Linked DNA regions of Cricetulus griseus. The protein of the gene in region 2 purifies or fractionates together with the protein of the main gene of each other region. This does not show direct contact. Links are inferred from orthologs where the notes say so. Each region holds a gene or a part of one and is shown on either strand. Other genes may lie near its edges.

Region 1 (4,334 bases), on a different chromosome or scaffold from region 2:
AGGAAAGCTGGAGAGGCTGTGAGGATCTCCTTCCTCCAGATTCACCAAAGCCTTTGAAGAAAGTCAGGTCGGCAGGCCAGTTTACCATTCCTCATTTTTAAGTCATAGACACACCCGAGGATGCCTGTTCTGACTCAGGGATGACCTAAGCCACAGAGAACACTTCTTTGTTAACCACAAGTGCTGAGGGTGGTACAGGAAAAAAAAAAAAAAAAAAAAAAAAAACAATAAGCCAAGTCCCCCAAATCTGTGTTTGTGTGTGAGCAAGCCTGCATGCACTCGGAGGCCAGACGGCAGCTTCTGGCTGTCTCCCTTAACTACTCTCCACTTCAGTAGAGTGCAGGGTTTCTCACTGAACTTGGAGATCACCAACTGGCTAGGCTGGCTAGCCAGCAAGCTCCAGGTCCTCCTGTTCTCCACCTCTCCAGCCTGTGATGAAAGCCACAGGCCTGATGGCCATCTTTTCCCTTTTATGCTGGGGAAGGTCTTCATCCTAGTGCAGCAAGCATTTTTACCAACCATGGCATCTCCCCAATATCCTCCTTCTCCCAAAGGAGGCATTTCTCAAATTTCCATGCAACATGGCTAAATTCCCCCCCCCACGCCCCCCGGCCTTTTTTTTTCTGGCCCCTTTCCTATGGGTCATTTGACTCTTCCTAATCCACTGTGAACTGACTGGAAACTATTTTCTACAGGTTTCTCTACCAAAGATTCTGTCTATCACTTGACATATGACTTCCTTGTAGAATTTTTTCTATGGCCCTACAACTAGGCTAGTTAACTTCGGGCCCTCAGAGTCTGTGAAGCTAAAATAAGGCCAAAGGGGGGTGGGGATGGCACAGGTAGGGAGGAAAAGGAGGACACTTGAAGGCAGAGGGAACAGATGTCCGCGCAGGAAGGCACAGCAAGCGTGTAACACTGCCCGGGAGGGGAAAATGTGGCAGAGAGGTTGTGGCCAGATAGCTCTAGCGGTCTCTGGTCAAAGTCCAGAAGCAAGAATAGCAAGTTCTTGATAAGGGACGATGACAGGAAGCTTATTAGCGGGGTCTGGTGTATCCATTTCTGAAGTTTAGAGCGGTAACGCTTGAAAGGCAGTATGGGTGGAGGAGAGACAGTTTACTCAATGCTTCCTCTCATTTACGGGCACTAGGATTCCACCGAGGGGAAAACTGTACTCCGCCGTGCTCTCTGACGGCCTCCCCCGCGGGAGAGCGGGCGGGCGGGTGGAGTCCCCGCCTCGCCCCATCACGTGGCCAGAAGCGCCCTCTGCATGTGAGCTCCCTTGCGCTAGGCCAATCAGCCTCCGCAGGGGCGGGGACTTCGGGCGCGAGCCTCTTCTCGCGAGCCTTGCCGCCGGAGCTCCTGGACCGCCCACGGCCGCCAGCGGAGGTCTCGCGAGGCTTGGGCGCTGCGGCGGTAGGAGGAGGACGGGGAAGGACGGAGCTGGGGCGCCGCTGCCTCGCTCACTCACTCCCTCGCGCGCTCGCCCGCCCCCTCCCTCCCTCCCCTCCCTTCCCCGGCCCCGGCCCCGGCCCGGCCCATTCGCTGCGCGCTCTCCGGCTCGGGAGGATGTCGGGCTCTTCGCTCCCCAGCGCCCTGGCCCTCTCGCTCTTGCTGGTCTCTGGCTCGCTCCTCCCAGGGCCAGGTGCTGCTCAGAACGGTAAGCCGAGGGGCCGGGGGCGGGCCGGGCGGGGGCGCCGGGCTCCGGCAACCAGAGGGGCCGGGCCCAGGCCTGAAGGGGATGCCGGAGCCGGGAGCGGGCGGCCGGGCGGCCGGGCTGAAGCGAGGAGGCGCTTCGTGGAGAGTGGAGGCGTCGCTGTGCTGCGAGCCCGGGGCGCTGGAGACAGGTCCGCGCGCGGCGTGGGGCTCTGCGCTCACCAGGAGCTGGAGTAGCGGGGGCGGCTCTGGAGAAGGCGTTCGAGTTCGAGCCGGCAGAGGGGTGTTGGCGGCGAGGGAACCGGGTTCTGCAGGCGCTGACACCGGGATTCTACGGGGGCCCCGGAACCCTAGTGACATCCTGGAAAATGGGAGGAGGGGGAAGCTGGGGTGAAAAGGATCCTGAAGAACACCTAGCGGGAGCCACTACTTGAGTCTCCAAGGAGAGGGGTTAGTAAGGGATTCGGGGAACCTTGGATTTGGGGGTAGAGGGAAGGTGGGCGGAAAGATGATGGAGTGGGTTGACTGCAGTGGGGGACCTGGAAAAGAGAAGCAGCAGTGTCTCCAAACGAGCTGCTGGGGGAAGAGGGCTGGGTTTTGCCAAAGAGGGTGGAGTGCTGGGCATTCTAGGGTAGCGGTTGGGAAAGCAAAAGGGAGTTTCTAAATAAGGAGAGGAAAATGAGCAGAGGATGGGGGGAAAGCATTAAAACTGAGGTAGAGGAAGCATCAGAGAAGTAAAGGGTGCCTGGGTATAGAGGTGGGTGTTGGGGAAGACGAAAAATAAGGGAAGGGAGTAAAATGCAGGAAGTCGGGGGTGTAATGTTGCTTTGCAGCGTGGTGGATACATTAGGGAGGGGATGAGTTGTGGCAAATGCTGTATGATGTAGGTTTGGCCTTTGGGGAGGGCTGGGACAGTTACATCTGCAGTGGTGGGATTGAGGGCAGTTGAGTGATGGCAGGGAAATGGAGGAAGTGGGCTTTTGAGATTTAAAAGTTTCAAGACTGAAAAGATGTCATTTCTGTGGAATATGAATGTGGCCTCTGGGATGTGTTTAAGGTACAGTGGAAGCGAAAATTGGGTTTCGAGCTGAAGCTTTTTAGAGAAGATGATGAAGGATAATAGGCATGGGGGAGCTAAACCTGACGGATTCTGATTGACAGCATTGCCACAGTTCTGTTGCTGAACTGATCTTTCAGAAGCAAACTTAAAAGGATAATGAGCCTATTTCAGTTATTGTGGAAACAACTATTAAGAGGTTTAAAGATTTTTTCATATGAAAAAATCATAAGAAGTCGGTTGGGGTAGGGAGACATAAATTAGTTTTAATCTCCTCATTCTTCGTTGTTATACTAAAACAATTAAAATTGCTCTTGTCTGAAATTAAAATGGCTTTCATTAAAACAAAATCACGCAGAGTCCGTGGAGTTGAGGGTTCTGAAGAGAAACCGACCTTAAAATGCTAGAGGTTACAGCGAAAATACAGTATTGAGACAAAAAAAAAAAAAAGCGCTATCATTCTACTTAGGGAATTTTATGCCCTATGGCTTTGTTTCTTCATGGGTCAAAAGGGAAACATTTTTCTGTCTCTTACATTGAATATCCTAAGGATGTGGGCACCCCCACCCCATTTTCCTTAAGTACAAAGCTGTGGAAGGGAAATGGTAGAGTTAGCCTGATTTGCTTGCTCTACCAGTCATTTATGTGATATGACTTGACTCTAATTCTGATTTCAGTTATTTGTGGAAGTAGCAGTTTCATTTTGTGCTGTAGGTGAGAGATTCTTGATGGTAGATGTTTAATCTGTGCTGGCATAAGTTGTTTTGGATGATTTATAATATGGTAAATTGTAGTTTCTTAGCAACTAAGGCAAGGCTTTTGGATAGGTCTACAAAGACTCATCTGGCTGCTCTTAGTGATAATATGTTCTAAATACAGCATAGTACAGCCTTTCCCTTGAAATGAGCTTGGATTTAGTCACGTGACAAGACTAGTAAAGTGACGATGAGTCCATAGTTGACCCAAATGAATGTAAATTGAATTCAATAAAGAAATGGTTACTTTTGAGTTTATATGGTTAAGGATGCCATTTTAAAACTTTCTGTAATGTGTCTCAGTGGAAATATTTAAGCTTTCTGTTGATAATAGTCTTGCAATAGTCTGATTTCATGTCCTAAAGGTTTTACTTTTTGTACAGTGTTTCAGAAAGAGATACCATGTTCCATATGATATTGAAATGTTAGACATACAGATTATCTCTTTAAAATAATGCTTTGGAAAATCAGTGGTAGAGTCACTGCTTCTGGACGGAAAATGTGGCCGTTTAGATTAGGAATGTAGAACTTTCTGAAAAGGCTTCTGTTTTCATTAGTCCTCAAATGAAGATTTTGGTCTAGATGACCCACAGCATCTCTTTTAACTCCAAAAGGATTCTGACCCATTACCATAGGGATTCAAGTAGACTTCATTTTTCATATAAATATTTAGATTTGTAAGACCACAGTTTTAGGTAAAACCTTTTTTTTCTTTTTTTGGGTATGTATGTACCAACAATACAATTCTAAGGCAAAAATTTGAGATATTCAAAAGTGTTAGATTAAAATTGAATATTAAACCAAAAAGTAAAGTGTGATCTAGAGCATAAGCTTTAAACACAGATACAGCTAATTTTTTTTTTTTT
Region 2 (4,389 bases):
CACCTTACTTCTCCCAGCACCAGGCCTTGGGCAGATCCTGACTGTTCTAGTTTGCCCCCTCTCCACTCCCCACACAGTACCCTCAGTTTGATTCTCTTCTGACATCAAAGACTACAGCAATGTGACAAACCTGACTCAGCCACTCCCTCCCACCGTTTCTGTGGTGAGCAGGGTTCCCAGAGCGAGGAGGGGCTATAGACCAGAGGGCAAACTAGGGGCCCCTTCCTGCACCTCCCCATGCAAGTGATTCCCAGGTGCTATTACTCCACCCCTGGGGACTAGCAAGATGGATCTGTGGGTAAGGACTCCTGCCTTGAAGTATCTGATGGCCTGAGTTTGGTCCCCATGAACCCAAATGGTGGAAAGAGAGAATAAATTGTTCCCTGACCTCCAGATGTGGTCCCCAATAAATGTTTTTTTTTTTAATTAAATTGCCCCCTTTCATCTTGGAAGTGTTGACAGAGTGCCTCTATTTGTCCTGGCACTGTGCTAGAAGCTGGGAGTCTCGGGGATGAGGCAAACTAAGTCCCTTCAACTTGACCTTGGAACCAAGGATTCAGGGACACGGAGATGGAAAACAGAAGTGAAGGGGCAGAGGCACCGGCAGGGACCGGAAGGCTAGAAGCCTCTACCACATCTAAGTCCGTTCTCCTCTGAGTACTCAGACTAGGGCAGAGCCATGCCAGAGGGTGGAGCCGGGCTGCTGAGAGGCTGACAATAGGGCAGGTCACAGACGCTGCTAGACGGGAGGGATCCAGCTTCTGCTGCAGTATTCCCAACCCTGCAGTTCTCACGGCTCGGAGAGGTGGGGGTACAGCTGGGCTGAAAAGCGGTCTCCCCAGCTGCCCAAGACCCAGGACACATGGCCATTAGAACAGGCACCCTAGTGCGCGCTAAGCAGACACCTCAGGCAGCAGCCATCCTTATCCACCAGAATTGGTCCCTCCCCCGGGATTCCCGCCTCCCCTTCCGATAGAAGAAGGGCACCAATTCTTGTTGGGATCAGACCACAGGTGGGGTAGAGTGGCCAAAGGGTCTGATCCATTACCAAACACCTGCAAATGAAAGCTCGCTCTGGTGGCTTCCCTGGCTACCTTTTAACCTCTCCTTCTATTTCTTCCTCAGGTTCTCAGCAAGGCTTTTCTCATAGCCCACATTATAGGGTCCTCCTGTTTTGAAATTCTTCTCTCCCCTAGGCCCCTTGCCATGCTGGTCCCAGCCCGAAATAACCCTGGTCTCCTCCCTTCCAGATAAGGAGATCCCAGACCAGGGGGGTGCTATAGGAAAGGGTCTCTTAAGTGGGAAGAGCCAGGAACAAGGGGAGTTCATGTGGGTGGGTGGGGGTGTCAAGCATGGAAGGAGTGAATCTGAAGACTCCCTGCCACACACCCCAACTGGAGGAAAAGATGGCCTGCAGAACGGGAATTCGTTTTCCCTCCCTCCCCACTTCTCTTTCCTTCTCAGCGTCACAGCAGCCGCCTGACTTCTTCACCTGACACCCGACCAGCCCACCTGGCCAGCATCAGATCCGGAGGGCATTGTGCGTCCTGCAGGAGTACCCTGGAAGAAGATGCCTCCGGCCAGGGCGCGCTCTCCCTGCTCGCAGGATTTGCTGGGCCCCTCCTCCCATCTCCCCACGCGGCTGGAGAGAAGCAAGTAGGCATTCTTCTAGAGGTGGACCAGAGTATAGGCTGGACTCATCTCAAGGAAAGACGCCAGCCGGCCCGCACTACCAAAACAGGGAGAGAGGAGAAAGAGGGAGCAACTCCAGCCTTAGTGTCTATCTCTAAAGCGATCTGTTCAGGGACCCTCTCAAGATGCCAGAGGCCCAAGCCGGCCACCTCACAGCCTGGGGCTTGAAACTGAAAACTTTTCAGTGTGCCCCTTCTCTTTCCTTCCCTATAGAATCAGAGATGCGTGGGGCGGTGCCCTTAGAGACACTCATACAGTTGGTTCTGGACGCTTACGCTCACTCAAACAACAGCAGTGAGAGGGAACTCCCAGCTTTTTCCACAGCTAATTATAGACGTCAAAGTCTGAGGATGTTTTGTAAGCCGCAGAGAGAAACTGCTGAGGTTTCTATGCAAAGCCAAAGAAATTTAATTTGTGCACTCCTGGTTCTCACCCTCCAACTTCTCCTAGCCTATCTCCACCTTATGCGCCCCCCCCCCCCCCGTGAGCTCCCTCCTTGGCGCTAAGGCCTTCCTTCCCGCTGAAGATTTATTTGGTCCTATTTTTCCCATCTCTCTTTGGGGCTTTCGAGAAAGGGAACAGACGCGGAAAATATTTTTTTTCCGCAACAGTTTTCCATTCTGCGGCTGGTTCCCAAGCCGAGGGGGAGGGGGAGAGCAGGAGCGGATGGGGGTCGGCTGGAATAAATACTTGTTCCGAGAGCTTAATTTGGGTGAGAAAAAGGCAGTCCCTCCATTTCCCCACCCATCCCATGATCCAGAGGAAAACGCAAAGGGATCACTTGTTTGATTAGATGGTTCTTCAGAACCCAGGGAAGAATACAGTGTTGAAGACATTCTCATTTTCTCCCCCCACCTCTGTCTCCTATTCCACCACCCCACCCTCCCAGAATTTGCTAGCATGAGGAAATTCGGATACTTTGAGAAGCTATTGAGAGGAAAGAAAGAAACAAAGTTTGCAAATCCCAGAGTCAATTCATTCTCTGCAAACCTACCTCTCTTTCTAGCAAAGATTCAGGTGTCTCCAAGCGGGACTCTCCCTCAGCGTTTCCATGGACCGAGTAGGGTGGGGTGACCACCCACCGCTCTCCCCAGTGTGGCAAACCACCTAGTGATGCTGGCTTTGCTCTCTGGCCACAGCTGGGGGAGTGGACTGAGTCTTCTTCCCCAGCCCTTCCACGCGAAGGACCTTCCTGGAAGAAAATGGGTGCAGGGAGCTGGGCGGGTGTCTGACCTCGCCGTCTTCGGAGGGATGGTCCCCCAGGAAGTTCGTACTCCCACCCCACCCCCAGCCTAGGACGGTCTCAACAGAAGAGCTGTCTTAAGAAAATGCTTGTCATGGCAACAGCTCCAGCCAACTCTGGCCAGACTGGGGCTCCCCAGCTCTCCCCCAGCAGGGCGGGAGGAGAAAGGGGCGGAGCGCGAGCCGGCGGGGGTGGGGTTTGGCGGGAGGCCAAAGCATTGCTCAGCTCTTAAGGTAGCCCGAGAGCAAGGCGCGGCGGAATGATGCTTCTTGGTCCGTCTTAAGGGGGAATGGGGAAGGGTAGGGGGAATCCTCTGCCCTCTTGGCTTTCTCCCAGCGCTGGTTCTTACTTGTTGAAAGGGGAGCAGAGCAGGCGTGGGTGTGGGTGGAGGTGGGAATGGATGTGGGCAGCGGTCTTCAACCGTTGCTGCGTGGAGGGGAAATAAAGGAAGTGTCTGCAAGCCATTCTGTTTCCTGCAGCTCCTCCAGGCCTCTCATTCTCATACTGATTTAGACTCAGGACCACGAAACCTCAGGAGGCTGTGGGCATCTGCCCTACTGACCCAGTCTGAACTGGGAGTTCACTGTCAAAGACGAGGCAATTGCTCAGGGTGCCCACACACATAGGTGCCTCCTCACCCTCAGACCCAGGTCACATCTTGCTCTCTCTTGCTTGTGTACCCAACCAAAGGCATGTCCACAGGGCATAGAATGGCTGCTCGCCTGTGTGTGGCTGAACACCCAAATCTTTGCATCTACAATATCGTTTTTAGCCCTGGTGGCAGTCTCAAAAAGGTACTCATTACTGTCCTGGTTTCATGGTTGAGGAAATTAAAGATTGAGCGACTTGCTCAAGGTTACCCATCTGGTTAATGACAGCCAGGATTCAGGGGCAAGTCAGATCAGACCCATTCCAGAGACTATGTGCTTCCCTATCCCTGTATCATACTATGTCACACATTTCCATCCTAGCGCGTACACACTGAGACATCCGTACACACTTAGACACAGCCTATAAACTGTTAATCACACCCCCGTGCCACACACCCACCAGCATTGTGCAACAGTGCCACCCATAGCTTTTGCATGGAACCTTATGGCTTTCAAGTACAAACATGCACCATCAGCTGGCTCACACAACACATCTTCATTGACGGATACATTCCCACACCTACCTCAGCAGACATACTCACTCATGTTTACATGCTTATGAAAGGCAGGCTAACACAACCTCACAGGTTATAGAGTACTGTATAGGGGAAGAAGGGGATTATTACGGTTCCCCAACCTATTAATAGAGCTTCAAAAATGCTCCAGTACCTAACCAGGCATGGTGAGTATACCTGTAATCCTAGCAAGCAGAAGGCTGAGACAGAAGGACTGTTAGGAATTTGAAGCCAGCCTGGGCTACACAGTGGGAGCCAGGCCAGCTATAACTACACAGCAAACAAGAGC

Evidence for each region.
Region 1: the proteins of Atp2b4 (region 2) and Nptn purify together in Homo sapiens (co-immunoprecipitation; 3 studies listed by BioGRID and IntAct, with this or other methods). This does not show direct contact. The link is inferred for Cricetulus griseus from reciprocal best matches to the Homo sapiens genes ATP2B4 and NPTN.

The regions. Positions count from the first base shown.
Region 1 is NC_048597.1:170,169,692-170,174,025, forward strand, and holds the start of Nptn (neuroplastin), read left to right. Parts: upstream 1-1,333; 5' UTR 1,334-1,569; coding exon 1,570-1,660; intron 1,661-4,334. UniProt on the Homo sapiens protein: Probable homophilic and heterophilic cell adhesion molecule involved in long term potentiation at hippocampal excitatory synapses through activation of p38MAPK. May also regulate neurite outgrowth by activating the FGFR1 signaling pathway.
Region 2 is NC_048598.1:55,393,710-55,398,098, reverse strand, and holds the start of Atp2b4 (plasma membrane calcium-transporting ATPase 4), read right to left. Parts: upstream 3,063-4,389; 5' UTR 2,687-3,062; intron 1-2,686. UniProt on the Homo sapiens protein: Calcium/calmodulin-regulated and magnesium-dependent enzyme that catalyzes the hydrolysis of ATP coupled with the transport of calcium out of the cell. By regulating sperm cell calcium homeostasis, may play a role in sperm motility.